Mus musculus: one gene and its partner. The protein of the gene in region 1 purifies or fractionates together with the protein of each later gene. This does not show direct contact. Links are inferred from orthologs where the notes say so. Each region holds a gene or a part of one and is shown on either strand. Other genes may lie near its edges.

The links.
Region 2: the proteins of Wipf1 (region 1) and Nck1 purify together in Homo sapiens (co-immunoprecipitation; 5 studies listed by BioGRID and IntAct, with this or other methods). This does not show direct contact. The link is inferred for Mus musculus from reciprocal best matches to the Homo sapiens genes WIPF1 and NCK1.

Annotation. Positions count from the first base shown.
Region 1 is NC_000068.7:73,523,288-73,532,841, forward strand, and holds the start of Wipf1 (WAS/WASL-interacting protein family member 1), read right to left. Parts: upstream 6,201-9,554; 5' UTR 6,040-6,200; intron 1-6,039. UniProt on the Homo sapiens protein: Plays a role in the reorganization of the actin cytoskeleton. Contributes with NCK1 and GRB2 in the recruitment and activation of WASL.
Region 2 is NC_000075.6:100,540,571-100,550,168, forward strand, and holds the start of Nck1 (cytoplasmic protein NCK1), read right to left. Parts: upstream 5,565-9,598; 5' UTR 5,535-5,564; coding exon of another isoform or gene 4,887-5,534; intron 1-4,886. Other genes in the region: Gm46139 (synapsin-1-like), read left to right, coding at 4,887-5,534. UniProt on the Homo sapiens protein: Adapter protein which associates with tyrosine-phosphorylated growth factor receptors, such as KDR and PDGFRB, or their cellular substrates. Maintains low levels of EIF2S1 phosphorylation by promoting its dephosphorylation by PP1.

The DNA of each region.
Region 1 (9,554 bases):
ATGGAGAAATTCAGTGAGGGAAAGAAAAAAGCTCTCAGCAAAAGAGAGGAGACTTGGAAACGGAGTGCCAAGAAGACTATCTGGGGTTTTTATACATTGAGAAAAAAAAAAAAAACAAGCAAACAAAAGTCACTTTGATTTATCTAAAGGAGCACTCACTAGGCTGGACAGAGCTCTCGTTTGGGTCTGGGGACTGTCCCCCACCTCTCTCCCCTTTCAGGAATCACTATGAATGGGAGGAAGTAGGTTGGCCTTGTTTCCTAAAATAACTTGTATTTCTGGGCTTTTCTTATCTCAGGCTGGTTGTGGGGTCCCCAGGCCTGGGTCTTAACTACTGGATGCTCCCTCAGGATGTTCCTGGCTGTTGGCCTGTGTCACCTCAAGGTTTTACTCCTATGATTAGTCAAGAGCTTTTTGTCCCTACTTGCCTCATTATAGGGGTCTACCTACCTCTGTCTCTGGCTGTATTAGAGCGGAGAATATCACCTCTTAGGAGCTCCAATAATGGTCGATAAGAACACAAATCCTATGAGTTATCAGAACTATATCCTATTCTGGATATAAAGATACTGTACAGTTAAATTAACCATGGCAATGAATGTCACTTTATACAGATCACCCTGAGTAAAAAGTCCAGTTTTAGGTTAAAACATGTTTCCCGACATCTTAGAGTTTTCTGCAAAACAGGGTCTGTTTTAACTTCCGAGTCCTTCACCTCAACTCTGACTGACAGGGCGAGGAAGCTGCCATCGCTTAATGATGAGTAAAAAACGAACTGCATTTGAGGGGAATAAGCGTAAAAATTAATGTTTTTAAAAAGTGACTACTTTGAAGAGTCTGCCGTCTAACAGGGGTTAGAAAAGACTGGAATACAGGACAGAACAGAAATCATGGGCAGGTGAGGACTAAGCTAACAGGGACAGGTGACTGAGAGAAAGGGACAGGTGACTGAGAGAAATGAGCCAAGGGAGCAGGGAGTGTTTCAGTGTATAGGAATGAGTTCTCACACAGTGTGAGCCATGCTTACCATCGTTAGCACAGAGGTGTGTGGCTAACGGTGCCTCCCGCTCGCTTTCCTATGTCCTTGTACAGAGTAGTAACAAAGCCTATTGTTTCTGTCTTCCTAAGGATGTGTGACCAATCGGAAAAGTCTGTAGAACTCACCTACAGATGTATGTAGAGAGGGCAGAGGAAGGGATGTTGCCAGAAAGGCACTTAGATGGGAATGGGAACCACAGGTTAGCAGAAGTCAGGAATGGGAGGGTCATGTCCAACAAAGGTGGGGACAGGGCTGAGTCAAAGGTGCAGGGTTTGGAATAAGGCTGCTCAGGTCTGAACTAACCCTGTCACTAGCTAAGAAACTCAGCCTCACACACCAAATAAACAGAAATCTCACAGAGTTGCACAAATATTCAATGAATCAACTAAACGGCATATGACTGGTAACATTATAGGAAGGAAGAGGGAAGGGAGAGGAGTCATAGAAGGAAGGAAGAAAAGAGGGAGAGAGGAGTGGGGAGGGAGGAGCTGGGAGATGCTCAGCACCCACTCCGTGGCTCACACCATCTTTATCTCTGGTTCCACGAGATCCAATATGCTCTTCTGGTCTCCATGGACACCTGCATTCATGCAGCTCGCAGGCACTCATCTCTCCAGCCTCTGGATCGTTTGATTTTGCTGTTGTTTTGTTTTGTTTTTAAAAACAAGGTTTCTCTGTGTAGCTCTGGCTGTCCTAGAACTAACACTATAGATCAGACTGGCCTTGAACTCACAGATTTCCACTTGCCTGTGCCTCCTGAGTGCTGGGATTAAAGGCACACCATCACCACCCAGCTTAAATGACGGCAGACTTTGTCCTAACACATTTTCTGTTCTAGAATAGCCAATGGTTTTTGTTGTTGTTGTTTGGTTTTTCGAGACAGAGATTCTTTGTAGTCCTGGCTGTCCTTGAGCTTGGAGATCTGCCTGGCTCTGCCTTCCAAGTGCTGGGATTAAAGGTGTGTGCCACCAAAATCACTGAAGGCTTTGAAGAATTTCATTCACTTAATTTAATTGGGCTGGGTGGTGGTACATGCCTTTAGTCCCAGAACTCAGGCAGCAGAGTCAGGTTGACCTCTGAGTTCAAGGCCTATCCCGAAAAACAAACAAAAAATAAATAAATAATAATTTTTAAAATTTTTTTAAATTAATATAATTTGGCTCAGTGATAGAGTCTTGCTTAGCATGTCTGAATCACTGGGTTCAAACCTCAGCACTGCCAAAAAGAAAAGCAAAATGCACACTAGTATAACTGAGAGATAGGGCAAAACCAAAAGGCAACATGAATTATACTAAAGAAATGGCTTGCTCAAAGAGAAAAATTCATTTATCGTAAACATTAAAATGTAACAGAGACATTTTTATGTGAGTCATAGCAATCAAGACTACAATACAAAAGCTGTAGATAGTTACATCTCGTTACCCTCACCTGTGTTCTTTCACTGAGTAGCAAAGTTTATTGCTTTTGTGTTCTCAGTAAATATCTGTGACTAACAGCAGGCTGTAATGCTGCGGTCCCACGAGCTGTCCGGCCACAAGAAGAAATGGTGTTCTAGCTACTGGGCTTTGGGCTACACACCTGAGATCAAAGCTGCTTGGACTGAGAGAAGCAGCTAATATACTTGTTAAACTCCACTCCCATGGATGGAGGGTCATGATAACCAATATTTCCTGGTGCCAAGGGGCTAAGAAAGTGATGCATGCTGTCTCTGCATTCCCTGTCCTTAATCTGCCCCTAAAAACCTCAGCAGTGTAGGCTCTTCTGGGTGGACAGACACTGCAGATCCCAGACATCAAGAGTCTTCTCCTTGGAGCTACATGGTAAATGTCAAACATGTGATAGATCATGGGCATCCCAGAGACTATATGTTAATTTATACTAAAAGCGGCTCCTATATGTAGGCTATTTTGTTGCGTCCACACTGATTATAATAATGTTAATGATAATGGCCCACAAACACCAACAGCACCATTAAATACAACCTGCTAAGTATACTGTGCATGTGACCACATATGACCCTCATAGCAATCCTCTTGTAGAGATTGTTGATCTCACTTTAGGGGTAAAGAAAAAAAGACCTTGTAAGATAGAGTACTTGTACCAGTCACAAGATTAAGGAGACTTCGTGGTCCATGCAGTAACCACATGGAAACTAACTATATTCAGCACACTGGCATCACCTGTGGGCTCTCAAATGTGAATTCTCTAGAGCCAGAGGCCCATGCATGTAATCCCAGGACCTGAGAGGCAGAAGGAGGAGGACTGCTCCAAGTTCAAGGCCAGTCTGGTCTATATGGCAGGTTTCAGGCCAGCCAAGGTTACCTATTATAAACAAGCCAAACCAAGACTCACACCCCTCACTCCACACTCGCAGAATTGAGCCTTTGGAAGCCTCTAGTCACACATGGCTAACCACGACCCAGCCTACTCCACACTGATCCACACGTTAGCAGATAACACTACTCAACTAACTGATCCTCAGAGGTTTCTTTGTCCAAATGTATCCATGAGTCAGTTAGTGATCTCAACCTGACTGTAATACCCACGGGGAGGAGGGGGGGAGGCAGCAGCTGCATTTGTTAGGGTTGAGCAGTATAAGGGAGGCTCCGTGAGGAAGTCCTTTGTCCCGGGGAAGTGAAACCAGGAGTGGTTCTCAACTGAAGCTGGACAGAGGGACAGAATGTGAAGGCGCCTTCGAATCTCTCCATGGCAAGCACATACACAGTGATAAGTAATTGCTAACGGAAGGAGCCAATGAAAGGCCGACTCCCAGCAGCTGGAAGGAATCCCACTCCTTGAACCCCTTGTTCTCCCCTACCTTACCACATTTGCCTTCCAGCTCTGCTGTTCCAAACAAGGTTGTCTACAGTGATGGTAAACATCCAGGACAAGTCCTTCTGAGCTAACTCTACCCAGCGGAGAGCATGACAGCATCTTCCAGTAAAGACCCTCGATGCTCAAAGAGCCATGAGCTTGATTCCAGCTGCAGCCTAATTGGCGTGTGTGGGGCTGGTGGCCTGGCTACGTGGGTTGCTGGAAGGCAGCTCAGTGGGGCCTCCGTACGGAAATCATCAGAAATCTAGTAGACTCCATTGGAGGACAGGCCCCAGGATGGCCAGAGCTCTGGGACCTAGATTCCCAGGTTCTTAGAAATGAACAGGTTGCAGCAAGAAATAAAAATGTCCTGTGTACTTTAGAATAAAAGTATAAAAGGAATAAAAGAATATTTGGCATCACCGTGGAAAGTGCTCAACTTTAAAACTACAGCTATAGTTAGGAACACATTCAGTTATCCAAGACTGTGAGAAAAAACGGAGTATCATGAACATTCATGAAACCTGGCTCATGGCGGCCAAAGCACCTTGGCACGGTCAATTTAAAAGACACAGGCATTCTGCTCTTTGCTACCTACCAACTCTCTGGCAGTTCCTTTTTGCTCTTGTGTCTTGTTGTTACACGGTGCCTGGTGACTGGTTACTTTGTATCAAATTGCTTCTTGCTGTCTCATAACCTGTTATCCTGTTCTAGCCTCACACCCAGCGGTGGAAAGACTGTCAACCGAGTCACACAGTAGGTTTAAGGGCATCCGGCAGTAGCTAAACACACAGAAGAAAATGTGTGAAATGGACAACGGAAGTAAGATGCGAATCCCTCCATCTGCAAATAAGTTCATTCTCCCTTTCTATCCCAGAGTTTGATCATTCCCTGCTTTCAGATCTCTTTGCTTTCCATCACGTAATCTAAAAGCGCTCATGTGATTCCCAAAGAGAAAAGCTACTCAGGGAAGACGGTGATGTCGCTGAGCGGATCCAGAACACTTGGAAAACCCAGTCTGCAGCTTCTCTTCAGCCGGCAACCGGCACTCACAGATATGTGTACGATCTGTACACATATGTGTACACCACCCCATGCCTCTGAGAGGATCAGCCTGGTGAACCGCAACTGGCAGGTAATCAGGGTAGAAGGCAGTGCCCTGAGCACTGTAAGAAGCAGAGAGCCCATAGTTTATGAAAGACTTTCTCTCTTTAAGAAGTCAAAAACATGATCTACAAACTTTTAAGTTATTTATCAATTATTGAAATAAGCATTTTTTGAGGAGGCAAAAAAAAATCTATCAAATGAAAATACAGTATTCAAATTATATGGAAGCTGTTAAAAGAAAACCTACCCAGGCTGCACACGTGTCCGCTGTCCCTGTGGGTCTACCTGCAGGCCCGCTCAGGAACCAGAGAGATGAAGGGCAAGGAAGATCCAAGACAGACTAGCGATTTTCAGAGAAAGAGACCAAATCTGCTCACTGTAGAAACCCTGAGGGGTTAGGAGCCTATAGCCCGGGGATATTCCTTGGAGATTAAGCAAGACCCAGTCAAACCAGGTTCCACACAGACACACCTTTTGTTAATCTGAGTTCAAAGTCTAGCCACAAACCGAGGATCTGGGTCATCCCTATTGGATTTCTCTTGCACTAGTTAAGTTTCACTGTTCTTTCTTTGAAAAGAAAAGCATGCTAAAGTAGCGGGAGATGAAGGCTGAAGGGAAGCGGTCCACGATTTAGGGAGAGGCCCCGGGCGCAAAGCCCTGACCCGAGCTGGCCGCCCTTTCAGGAGCAGACATAGGCACCTAGAGCGCGCCCATACCCGGGATCAGGCTGCCCGGGAGCACTGGAGCCAAGTTCTGGGAGCCCTAAACTCCAAAGTCACCCGCCCTCGGTGGAGATGGAGTTGCAGATGCGGTTCCCGGGCATCCCAGGGAGACCGCGGTTAGATCCATCGGGTCCACGGGCGGTCCTGGGTCGGTGCAGCCCCGCAGCGCTCAGCGGGGATCGCGGCATCTCGAGCCCCGGCAGCCGCCGCCCCTTCCTCCCGCGCGGGCTGGACCGCGGGCCTGAGCGGGGATCGCTCCCCTGGGCGCCGAGGACGCGGCCCCGACAACCCGCCCGTCTGCACCCCAACTCCGTGCACCCCGGACGCGCCCTGCATGGTGGGGCGCGGCTCCCTTACCGTGCAGCGGCTCCGGGCGGCTCCTCGGCCCCGCGGCGCGCGGGGCATTTTTTTCTGGGAAACTTCTCTCTGGGTCCGCAGGGCTGAGCCGGGGCGGGCAGGAAAAGCGCTCCGCGCCGGGAGGCTGCGACCATCCGGGAACTTCGCCGAGATGTGCGCCCTCCCCCTCGGCCCGCGTCCTCCCCCTACGGCCCCCGCCACACGCGGACGCCGAGGCAGCCGCTGGCCCTTCGCCCTTCGCCCTCGCCGCGCCCTGACTTCCGAGGCCGGCGGGACCGGAGCCTGGGCTGGGCTCTCCCCGGGGCGGAGGCCGAGGGGTCCGGACCTGCGTGCGCCCAGGAGCCGGACCTGGAAGGGATACCCAACCCAAGACGCTGTCCCTAGAAACTACCCGGGCCTCCGAGTGGGGTGCTCTCCCCCCAACACAGGGAAAGCCTTTTCCGGTCATCTCCACTCCGCTCCCGAATCAGAGGGCGCCCCCCGCTTTGAGAAACTTAAAAGTTTCCATTCACTGTAAAAACTGGCTTCTAAGATGGAGTGGCCCCACTGAAGCCCAAGGGCCACGCGCGTCCCCAATCCCCGCCCACTGGGAGCGCACAGCTCTTCCCAGGGTAAGGTGCCTATCGGTTGGGATTCTTGGAATCTTTTTTTTTTTTTTTTCCACCGACTTCTGCAAACATAGAAAGATCAAGAGCCGAGCGAGTATAAGGAGAAACCCGAGGCCCTTTCACATGGCTCTTGCCAGTTCTCAAAAACACCACTATCAGGCCTTAAAGGCAAGTTAACACTGGGATGACACATTAGAACATATACATTTGAAAGACAAAGACAGTTATGGTCAGTATAACTACTGGACCGGATAGTAAAGCTACCGAGACGACGTAGCTCTCTGGGTAAAGGCAGGGAAGCTTTGAAAGATGCACCTCAGAATGTGGCATCTAGAATGCCTCGGCTTCAGGCTTTCTGTGCTGAGTTGTCCCTATGTGTGCAGTCTCTGTGACATGCTTCTGGCGGATACGATAATCCTGGAAAGACAGCGACAGGGCCACCTCTCCTAAACTCTTATTAGCGTTTTTTTTTGTTTTTTTTTTTGTTTGTTTGTTTGTTTTTTTTTTTTTTTTGGTAGGAGTCTCTAAATGCACTCTTTCCTTTTTGTTTTGTTTTTGTTATTTTTAGGTCTCACCATGAATTCCAGGATGGTTACAAACTCCCACTGTTAACTGTATTCGTCTAAGGTCTATGCTATATTTGCCTTTTATGTATGTATTTATTTAATGTGTACAAGTGGTTTGCCTGCAAATATATCTATCTGTATCATGTGCTTGCCTGGTGCCACAGAGGCCATAAGAAGGTGTGGGATGCCCTGATAATGGAATTACAGACGGTTGGGAGCTACCACGTAGATGCTGGGAATCTAAGTGTCCTCTGTTAAGAGCAGCAAGTGCTCTTAACCGCTGAACCATTTTCTCCAGTTCTGGCGCATTGAGTTTGGATCTTTTCCTGGGTTAGCAGTGTGTGGTAAATATTCCTTCTTGTTGCTTGACAACACAGGGAATCCATGAGGAGGGTAAACAATCCATACTATGCTGCATTGTGCCGCCGGGTTGCTAAGCAGTGGGAGCAGCCAGGGACATTAAGTACACGTTCAGCTCGAGATGGTTTCTGCTGACATTTGGTCTTTCTATTGTAGACAGAGGCGCTCTGAACCTATTCTGCTTCTTGTTTCATGACTCCCATCTTGGGAGCCACTCTAACTCCTAATCCAGTGCCTTTGGACCTCCCACCCCCTTATAACCAGGACTTTATTTTGGTTACCTTCTCCTGAATAGATGGCAGTCTCAAACACCAGATAAGGGAGCTTACCTGCCTCATTGAGTTCTCACAGGAACCTCTGTGAAATAGGCATCTGTCTCTATTGTACACACTGAACAGTGCCCTCCAAAGCCTGGCTGACCTGCTCAAGATCTCTTAGCATATGAATTTCTAAATTCAGATCATTATGGTGTTAATACCTCGATCCAACCACCAAGCCATAAGTCTCTCAACTTGATTTCCTGTTTGTTCCACCTCTGAGCTGCTACTTTCAGGAGTGACCTGAATTAAGATCCCCGAATGCTAAGCCAGGAAAGAAAGACAGTGTTACAAGCTTTAGTAAAGAAGTGTTGGTGTCCAAGCAGATCTGGTTAAAGGCTCTGTGCTAGGTTAGGTTCTGTCTTCTGGGTTCATGCAGGAAGGATGTGGAGTGCCAGATGAATGGAGCTCTAAACTTGGCCAAGGGAAGCAGCAGAGGACCAGGATGTGCTGGGGAGGGCGGTGTCTGAGCCGCACGAGTGCTTAGCATATTTAATAGACATATCCAAAACGGAAAGGACAGTACTCCTGAGAGGTGATTATTTTACTTACTGACATTGCACTTTATTCCAAAAAGAATTTTTAAAAAGCCTTGAGGCAGAACTGAACATGGTAATATTTAGACCTCTGGGATAACATATTCACCAAATATTTTTGCTCCATTTTTTTTCTTTCCCAAAAATATGTACTTATTCTAAACAATTCACCTAGTTGATAGGCATAAAAACAGAAAGTGAAAGCCACCTACAATCCCATCTAGAAGCAGCCACTTGTGATTTTCCATGCTTTTTCTGTGATATTTTGTTACACAACAAATAGGAATGATGGGGTAAGTCAGTGGTAGAGTGTTTGGCTAAGATGCACAAGGTCCTGGGCTTGATTCCCCACCTACACACACACACACACACACACACGCACAAGCACATGCACACACTCACTCACAAACACACACACACGCGCGCACATACACACACACACACACACACTCACACACACACATACACACTCACTCAACAAATGTTTATTGAAAGAGCTGAATAGGATCACGTTTCCTGATAAAATAATCTATTGCATTGGTTATCTGCTGCTATATGAAATTATCATAAATTTACCAGCTCAAAACCACATCCATTTATTACTTCAGGGCTCTCTGTAAGTGAGCACCATATGACTTCTGATGAGAGGCTGGGCTCTTGACTAGAGGCACTGAGGGAAGGTCCACTCCAGGCTCATTCTGGTCACTGGCAAAACTAAGCTCCTGACTGAGATGGGGCTGAGGCGCCCCTTTCCTTCCTAGCTGCCAGCTTCAAGGTTGCTCTTTGCACTCGGAAGCCAGCACAGTCCTCACATCCAGGAACAAAGACTCTCCGTTTGCAGACTTCTTACATTCATGTATGGATGCCAGGATAAGACCTACCCATTTAATCCCACTGAAGCTGACCCCCTCTCTTAAACTCAGGCTTAATTACATCTGTGGCATCCCTTCACTGCAGCTTCTAGATTAGGGCCAGTTTGAATAACTGGTGGAAACTCTAGGGATAGAAGTCGCATGGGTATGAAAGTTTATCTTTCCATTCCTCTTAAGACTCAACAAATCTAATTTGTTCTTTTTTTTTAACTACATATTTTTAACTGTATTATGTACCACAATCCAGCCAAATTCT
Region 2 (9,598 bases), on another chromosome or scaffold:
CAGAGTAGGATTCAAGTACTAAACTATCTGAGCCAATCGGGGACTTTGTCATTAAATCATCACAGTAGGCATGCACAGGACTGTACAGTGTGGAGGTTCCTGGGGAAACAAGAACTATGGTATGATCCGGCATGCCTACTTCTAGGAATATACTTGAAGGAACTGAAATCAGCATGCTGAAGAAATAATCAGCACTCACACTTATCTATCTGTTTTGGCTAGGGTTTTGCTGCTGTTTTGGTGTGTGTGGTCTGGTCTCAAGGTGTAGTCCAGGTTAGCCTTGAAATTATTATACAGGACACAATTGCCCTAAAATTGTGCCCTTCTTACCTTCAGCCTCCCTAGCACTGGGACCACAGGTCTGTTGACCACACTTCTTCATACCTTTATTGCACAATACCAACCCATATAATCAATGTCCTATGTCTATCGATAGAGAAAATGTTAAGTATACATAATGGAGTGCCCAAGGAGGTCAGATCTTCAGGAAAAAGAGGGACAGACAGTTGTGAATGGCCTTGTCTGTGCTGGGAACTGAACCCAGGTTCTCTGGAAGAGCAACCAGTGCTCTGAACCATAAAGTAGGCAGGGGGAATAAAACTATTCAGATATTAGTTGATATAAAAATAAAAAGCAAGATTGGTAAGACATAGAAAGAAAGCCCATAGCAGCTTCCACAATTTCTGCCTCTCCCAAGGAAATGTTTCCAATCCCCTGTTTATGTTTCTGCAATAGAGCTGGAATGCTTTAAAGATGCCACATTGTGCCAAATTATTCTATTATTTGAGTTGATCTACACAACAACATGATTTAGAAATTGATTCAGAAACTGATCTAGGGACATAGCTCAGGTGGTAGAGTGCCTTCCTAGCAAGAACAAAGCCTTGAGTTCAAGATCCAGCACTGCATACACAAAGACGGCCTCCACTTAAGGGACGCGGAGGCAGAAGATCAGGAGGTTCAACACCACCCTCAACTACAGAGTAAGTTCAAAACCAGCCTGAAACAAATTTTCCACACATTCTCACTGATATACTTTATTCAAATCATCTCAAGAAACGCTGACATCACCCATACCATATTTATATATAATTTGCACATCACTAAAGATAATTTCAGGAATAAATAAGAATCAGCATTTTCAACAGAATTTTTCTGTTTGTTTTTGCTTTTCAAGATGGAGTTTCTCTTGTTTGTTCTGGCTGTCCTGGAACTTGCTTTGTAGATAAGGCTAGCCTCTAACTCACAAGAAATCACCCTGCTTCTCTGCCTCCCAGGCACTGGGAATAAAGGTATGCACCACTATAACTATACCAGGCTAAAAAGACTTTTTAACTTGTAATTTTGTTTTAAGATAAGACTGTACTACATAGTCCAAGCTAACCTCAAACCTGTAATTCTCCTGCCTCAGTCTGAGTTCTAGGATTTGGCAGTTTATTTTAAACAAATAAAAAAACAAGCCATACTAACCAACCAAAACATATCTGGAAAAAAAAAAAAAAAAAAGCTTCTAATCTTTTTCAGATCAAAAAAGGAAGCACTCAGTGAGGCCTGGTAAAGTACACCTTCAAACCCAGTACCTGGGAGGCAGAGACAGGAGGATGTTTTGTGAATCTGAGGCCAGCCTGGTCTACCTAGTAAGTTTCAGCTCAACCAGGGCTATACAGTGAAACCTTTTAACACACACAAAAAAAGGGAGGATAGGCAAAAAGACTCAGAAAACCTTTACCTGGCAGTTTTCTGTGCTGTCTTGTACCACTGAACTCATTATAGGCAACCCAACACTGCTTTTATTAACAAACTTTAGAGTTAAAAAAATAAAAAGCTCTAACTCTACAAAATGGAAAGTGATTTTTACAATGTGTTTAACACAAGCAGACTGCAAAACTGATTCTTGACAGACAAAATGTGAAAGTGTTACTGTTTTAACACCCAGAAAAGAACATTTAGTTAACTCATAACATTTAGATACATGATAAACCCTCCAAGCTCCCACCAAACCATTGCAATATCCTTTCAAATCCCCCAAAGAGTCATTCTTTTTACCAAATAAGACAAGGAAAATAAATTCTAACAGTAAAACCTGAAAGGCAGCCATTCACTGTCTTTCCTCTTAGGTGCTGAGGATCCAAACTCCCTCTGTCCATCACGGAGCTACATCCCTAGCACCATCTTACACTTCTTAGGGGGCTACAGGACTCAACTACACAGACAATTGAATTTGTTAACACTTCTAATATATGGAGTCTGAAAAATACAAATTAAAAGGTCATATGCCCGGAATCCCAGCTACTGGGAGGCTGAAATCAGGAGATGGAAGATCACATTAGAACAAAATTTGAGCAACAATTTAGAGCAACGATTTGAGAGCCCACCTCAAAATAAAAGTGTTGGATCTCTAGGGGGAAAACACAAAATGAAAATTACATATTGCACAAGGTAATAATATGGTATCATAAAGAACACATGACACTTGAATAAGATGACTTTGAGTCTCAGCTCTGCCCCAACATCAAGATGTGGACATGTCAGTAGATATTTAGCATGGATTTCACGTTCTCAATCTAGAAAACAAAAGGCTAGATTCCAGTGTTTCAACAACGTTCCATGATATCATGACACAAATCCATATAAAATTAAAAAGCAAGGGGAAAAAAAAAGTCAGCTGGGGAAAGGATGTTTAAGAAAAAAGCACAGCAATAACTACACAAGCAAATGTCATCACAAAACACACCGCTCTGTGCGCTAACTTAAAAAGAAAGAGGGCGTGCGAAACAAACAAACAAAGACTCAGTTTAACATAGGTAACAGAAAATCTTGACAACCTTCACTCAAATCACAATTAAATTTCTAGGGACTGGAAAGATGTCTCCAGTTAAATTCAAGTATGGTTCTTGCAAAAGATCCAAGGCTGATTCCCTACAACAGGAGGCTTGTGACCCCCTGTAAGTATCTGACACTTTCTCCTGGCCTCCCTTTTCAGGCACCTGCCTCTTGTGCACATATCATGCCCTCAACATACATACAAGCACACACTTTTTAAAAATGTTTAACAATATGTAAAACAATGTAACTCTGGATGGGTGTCAAGATGCCTCTGTAGTTAAAGGTACCTACAGCCAAGCCTAAAAACCTGAGTTCACTTCATGGGACCTCTGTGGGGGACAGAGAACTGACCCCTCACAAGCTGTCCTGACTCTGGGTGTAGAAAATATAATAACCAATCACTTTTTTAAAAAATAGAACTTTAGACTGATGATACACCTCAAAGGTTTATGAGAAGCCATTGGTCTCACCCCAAAACTGAGGGAAGGCAAAAGAGACAGGAGAGGGAAAGAGAAGAGAGGGCGGGGAAGGGAGGAAGGAAATTAAGGAAGAAGGAAAGCTTAGCGAACTTTTCCTTTGCAAAGTTAGTAGTTTGCAGAGAATGTTTCTGTATTAGGACAGATGGCTCAGTGGTTAAGAGCTCTTGCAGAGGATCTCTGTTCTGTCCCCAGAGTCCACAGCACATGTCGTACAAAACACTACAAAACACATAAAATAAAAATAAACCCTTAAAAGACTGGAATCTAGAGGAAAGATATTACTAGTGTCTAAACAGTGAAAAATATGTTCAAAGTATTATTTTAAGATCAGCACAGGCAGAACACATTTGAGATCCTCCAGGCAGAAAATCCAGTTAGAGTTACTGAGTAGTTCAGAAACTGAAAAACAATATATAAGAATACAAAGGTAAGATTTTTTTTTTAAAGAAAACAACTACAAAAAAACAGTACAATGTTAAGGTTTATGTCTGGGTTCCTGAAAGCATGCTACTAATGTATCGCTAATGAAAGACAGCTTGGAGGCGTGGGGCATCAGTTGTGAAGGGAAGACTTTGAAGTTCTATTTCCTTGATAGGTTAAAGTGAGAATCAGGCAGGCCTGTCAAATTGTCGTCAAACTGTTGGATTTGTTAAATGCTCAGTTCACGTTTCCTCCAATTTTACTTAACAGTGAAATAATCATTTGATTTTCTGGCATTGAAAGCATCCATTCTTCCACATTGCCAGAGTTAATTCATTTTTTTTCAAGTTCTCCTGAGAAGGAATTTATTTACAATAATAATCACAACAAGCCTTGAACTCTAGAACGAAGTTCTCAAATTAGAAAATCAGCAGCATAAACTATCACTCAATGTTTAATAAGGCAATACATTAACGTGTCGACTTATTAATACACGGATCTGTTGGGCTTGGAAACCTAAACAATTTAAAATGCTTGCTGGGGAGGCAAATCTTTTCAAACATAATGCTCATACATACAGCGGAGACATCAACACAATGTACGCTTTAGTTACTCTAGCCAATTCCTACAGAAGTTTTCCCAGAGAAAGCACCACATGTGGCCACGATGAAAAAAAAGTACTAATCAACCAACGCATACGCTTTGACTTAACTATCACGATGTGAAGAGAATATCTATTTAAAAACAAGACTGAAAATGATCAATCAAAACTTTCTCCTTGGACTATTTCTCTGTTCATGTTGTGACGTCGCTAAAGGCTGAAAGCACACAATTGATTTCCAGGTGCTTAAGAAACCGTTAAGGCTGATTGATCATCATCAAGCTACCAAAGCTTTTGAAAATGGAACGCTTCTTGCAAAACTTGACCCGTTTTTTTGGCCGAACCCTGGATTCTCACTGCTCCCCACCCAAGATGGGGTCAGGAAGTTTTCTTCATCTCGTTCTTTCCTAACTCCTGTGAATTCTTTCCTAACTAAGGGCAGTATTTTTCTTCGGGTGACTTCAGCTCGGCTCGACGTTAACCGGTCATGTTACGGTCCTCAACCCTGAACAAAAAACCAGCTTCCTTCCAACCCAGCTGTTAACACTGAACCGACCTAGCACGGAAACCCGTACGACAACAGTACGAAACCAACCCAGAGGACTGCTTTTCCTGGACCAACCCCACCTCAACAGCCCCCGGACACCCACATCTCTCCTGCTCCGGAACGGGAGGGGGAGGGGAGGGCGCGCCCCGAGGATGTCCCCCCTCTCGGCTTCCTCAGGCTGGCGGCTGGAGGTGAGAGCGCCCTTCCTGCCAGCCTACCGTCCCGGCCTCGGACACCGACACAGACCGCCGACAGGGCTTTCTGCGGAGAACCGCCGAGGCAGCGCGCCGCACACTTGCCTGCCCGCCTCCCCGACCGGCGCTCGCAGCTCAGGCCAGAGGCCGCGGGGTCACCGGGCTGCACCGCGGACACCCGAGCTCCGCCGAGCGGCCTCCCCGCCCCCTCCGCTCCGCTCCGCCGCCAGCAGACGGCGCCCCCGGGCCAACTTCGCCGGGGAAAGAGGAAGCGACTAGAGACTAGCAGGCAGAGCGGACCGACCGGGAGACCGAAAGGACTGTGCGTGTGTCCGCACGCGAGCGAGGCCGTCTCACCTTCCCTCCGCCGAGCCCTCGGCTCCAGTCACCTGAGGACCGCACCGGGACGCCACCGCGGCTGCCCGGATGCCGTTACCGCACGAGGCCTGTGCTGCGCCGCCGCGTAGCTCTCGGAGAGGGGCGGGGCGCGCGCAACCGGTGGGCGGACCGTTGCGGGCAGGAAACCCGCTCCACGCCCAATCTAATAGGCTCCATCGCCTCCTGCGCCCGCCCCTGACGCTTCAGCGGAATGCGCCGCTCCGGGATTGGGCGAGCGGGCTTGTCAATCAAGCGCGGGCCCTGAGTGGTCCCTGAGCTGAGACTGCGCGGCCTTTGGACAGAAGGTGAGGAGCGCCGGGCCCCACCGCCCTGTTCTCCCCTAGCCTCCTCGGTGGCTGCTTACTTTCCGCCTCTCCCACTGCTACTAAAACCTGTCATTCATTTTAAATCGCTCATTAATGTCGAACAGCGGTCCCGAGTTCAACCCAGACTACTCTGGTGCCTGCATCTGAAAGGGCCGACCAGCTGCAGATCTTAGGGACAGGGAGCGACAAAGAAAATGAAGCCTCGGGGGAAAAATGTAAGATGTTTGTTAATGAAAACCACAACCAAAATAAGCTTTGCGAGCAACTTCCGAGTGCCCTGGCGCGTGGGTAGCCTTCATTCCCGGCTTCCAGTCCTGTGAAAAGGACAGTTACTTCTGCCCTAGGGGTGAGTATGGCAGTGGCACAGTCCCAGCCACCTGCCAAGGAAGGCATCAATAAATCGGCTCTCCTTCCTAACTTGCCTTACAGCGACTCATAACCTGCCTCACTATTTCCCAATCACCTTTGTTGCTTAGTGTGGGTGTGGCACCTAAAAGAAACATTCTAGGTTAGGTAATTTTATGGAAACACGAGTTTTTGCCTCCAGCGTAGCTGCACCCATATACCTAGATTGCAAAGTCTATTAAAAGAACTGTTTCACCCACGCCCACCTCGTGCCTAGCACATCATCCTCAACAATCGAGGAATTAATACAGCTTCCTTTCATCTTTTAAAAATTCATTTTTATTCTTTGTGTGTTCGAGTGTTTGGTGTACTTGTGTTATACTTGTGTATAATTTTGCTGCCCATGGAGGTCAAATGAGGGTATAGGATCTTCTGGAACTGGAGTTACAGATGGTTTTGAACCACCCTGTGGGTGCTGGGAATCAAACTCAGGCCCCTTGGAAGACCAGCGCTCTTAATCACTGAATCTCAGCCCCTTCCTTTAGCTATACTACAAGCCCTACCTGTAAATCCTAAAAAGTTGTTTTCTGCTTTTAACTTAATTGCATGTTAATAAATACATGGGTGGCCTGCCCTAGGTAAAATACAAGTTACCTGTAGCCCCTTTTAATCCTGAGTTTAGTTGAGAAAAGTAGAACATAAAACTGGGGAAAGGATACTCTGCCTATTGTTAGTATCAAAAGTAAGTAATGCAAATTATATATTTAAAAACATACATACCGAAGAGAAGGGGGTGATGCATGCAGAAGCAGGTGGATCGAGGCCAGCCTGGTCTACAGATTGAGTGTGAGTTCCAGGACAGCCAGGGCTACCCAGAGAAACCCTGTCTCAAAAAACAAAAAGACAAATATATATATATATATATATATATGCAGAGACAGGTTCAAGTTCTGCAAGTTCAAGGCCACCCTGGTTTATGTAGCAAATCCTAGGACAGTCAAGGCTACATAGAGAGATGCTATCTCAAAAGCAAAAACATACAGGCAGCTGACCCCCATTAACTCCAAAGGAGGATATTTGGGGTAATAAAGGAAATAAGAATCCTCCATATCTTAAGACCTTTCCCAGTAAGCTATTGACAGCTTATATAGTTAGAATGACCTAGTTTAGTGTCCCTATCATACAGTAATGTTTAGGAGGAAGAAAATCCTACCTATCTGCTATCAAGAAGTTATCACAGACTTGATATTGAAGTGTAAACATTAGTGGGCCCTACTAAATAAACTTAACTTCTGGATTTAGTATAGTTATGCTGTTATAGGAAAGAGTCTACCTTGTATGGAAGGTGCTAAAATAGGCACTGCAGATCTTGAGTCCACACCAGTGTCAGATATTGAGATTTAAACCAACCTGTATTATTTCTGTGCTAACCATATCAACAGTTGTATGTAGGGACAGATGGGCATTAAGCCACAATGAGAGGGAAATGTGTAGTAAGACTATTTGAGCAAAAAGAAGGGCTTGGGAGGGAGTTACCAAGTCTAAAGACATTAAGCAATTATAGTAATGTTGATGGAGCAGACAGTGGCTAGATTTGAAGCAATGTGTTAGGAAAGCTGAGGTCCTTAGAGTTTATCCTACAAGAAATGAGAAAGAGTTGTTTCACTAAAGAGTTGTTTTTCAGTACTTTTTCAGTAGATCATTCTGATGTTTTCTAGCTCTTGTTTCTACTGAGAAGCAAGTAGCAATTCAAAAAAAAAAAAAAACCAACTTTCTTTTATGTGTGATGGGTTTTGCTTACATGCAGTTCCCTCAGAGACCAGAAGAGGGCACCAAATTCTGGAACTGAAATACCAGACAGTTGTTAGTTGCGAGTGGGTGCTAGGAACCCAACTCGTCTTCTAAAGACCACAGTGACAGGAGCTGAACTATGACCCTGAAAGGACATTGTACAGCATAAAAATTTTTTAAAAAGGATAAAACTGTAGGCATAATGTTTTTATACACTGTGTTAATCAAATGCTGATTTCTCTGCCCTCATACCTTGTTTCAGTCCAGACACAGCATTGTAATGCTTATACCAAGAATCTCCTGTCTCAGGTTTGTGTGTAAAACAGTTCTTATTCTGTGCCTTGTCAATAAATGCTGATCACCCAGTGGCTGGGTAGAAAAGACAGTCGCACCCACCAGCCAGAGGAAGGAGAGAGGGAGAGAGGGAGATTCAGATCAGCAGCAGGATGGAGGAAGTGGAGCCATGAAGAAGGGGTCTGAAGAGCTGGGTCATTATCACGGGATGGGGCTGGGAGGTAGCCACATTAGCGCAGAAGTTTAGGATAGATCACTTAACTATGGGTAATGAGGCGTAGTTTTAAATAAATCTTGATTTCTCTGTGAAGTTACTGGGGACTAGCATAACATAAATAAATACAGTCACCAGATTAATTCACAGCCACATTTATATTAAAGAAATTTCATTCACATTAAGCCATAGAGCAAGGGGGAGCAGGGTAGGCCATACCGTTGTCCAATCATACTTTGACATAAGGATTGAACAAGGGAGTGTCCATCCATCAGGACTGGAGTTGGTCCCTGGGCCTGGGAACAGGAACTTGTTTGACGCTGCCGACAAGATGGAGAAGTTGTCCTTGAGATGTCTGGACTCAGGCAACTGTTTCCTTACGACAGAAGCTGTTCAGCTACTGGGAATCCCCAGCTCCCCTGGGACCTGGGACCTGGAATTTAGTTTCTCTGTATAGTCGAATGGAGTCTGAAAATGAAATGGAGTCTGAAAATGAAATCCTTAGAATGAGTTTCTCTAGCTTGTTCCCAACGATGTCTATGCTCACCCTTAGCAGGTTACACCCAAGATTACATATGTGGACATATGCTGCCCAGGGTCTTACTGAATCTCCCAAGCTGGCCTCAAATTTAGGAGCATCCTGCCTCAGCTTTCTAAGACACTGAGATTACAGGCTTATAGCTCTATGTCTGGCTCAGTTTGCATAATGTCTGTTGATATCTAATGTCTAGTAATCCCTGAAAATCTTAAGTATCAACACTTCCCAACGCTGGCTACCTTGCTAATGGATTTGGATTTGTTTGGAGATAATTTAGAAACATTTTATTCAGAAAAACAGAAATCACATTTTACCACAATGGAGGAAATTTAGGATTATGTGTTAATGGACTGAAAAAACTGACGCCAGGTTTGGTGGCTCATGCCTGTCACCCCATTATTGGGAGGATCACCCCAGGTTCAAAGCCAGCATGGGTATATAGTGAGACCCTGTCTCAGAGGATCACAAAATAAATAATAAAATAAAATAAAATGCAGGGAGGGGCCAGAGATGACATTGAGGTAACCCAAAGGAAGTTGCTTTGTGGATCAGCTACCACCCCTAGGGCTAGTGAAAAGGGAGATCAAGTCTGGACTAAAGCACTTGAGCAGTAAGGCATGACCCAGCTGGGATATAGCTCAGACC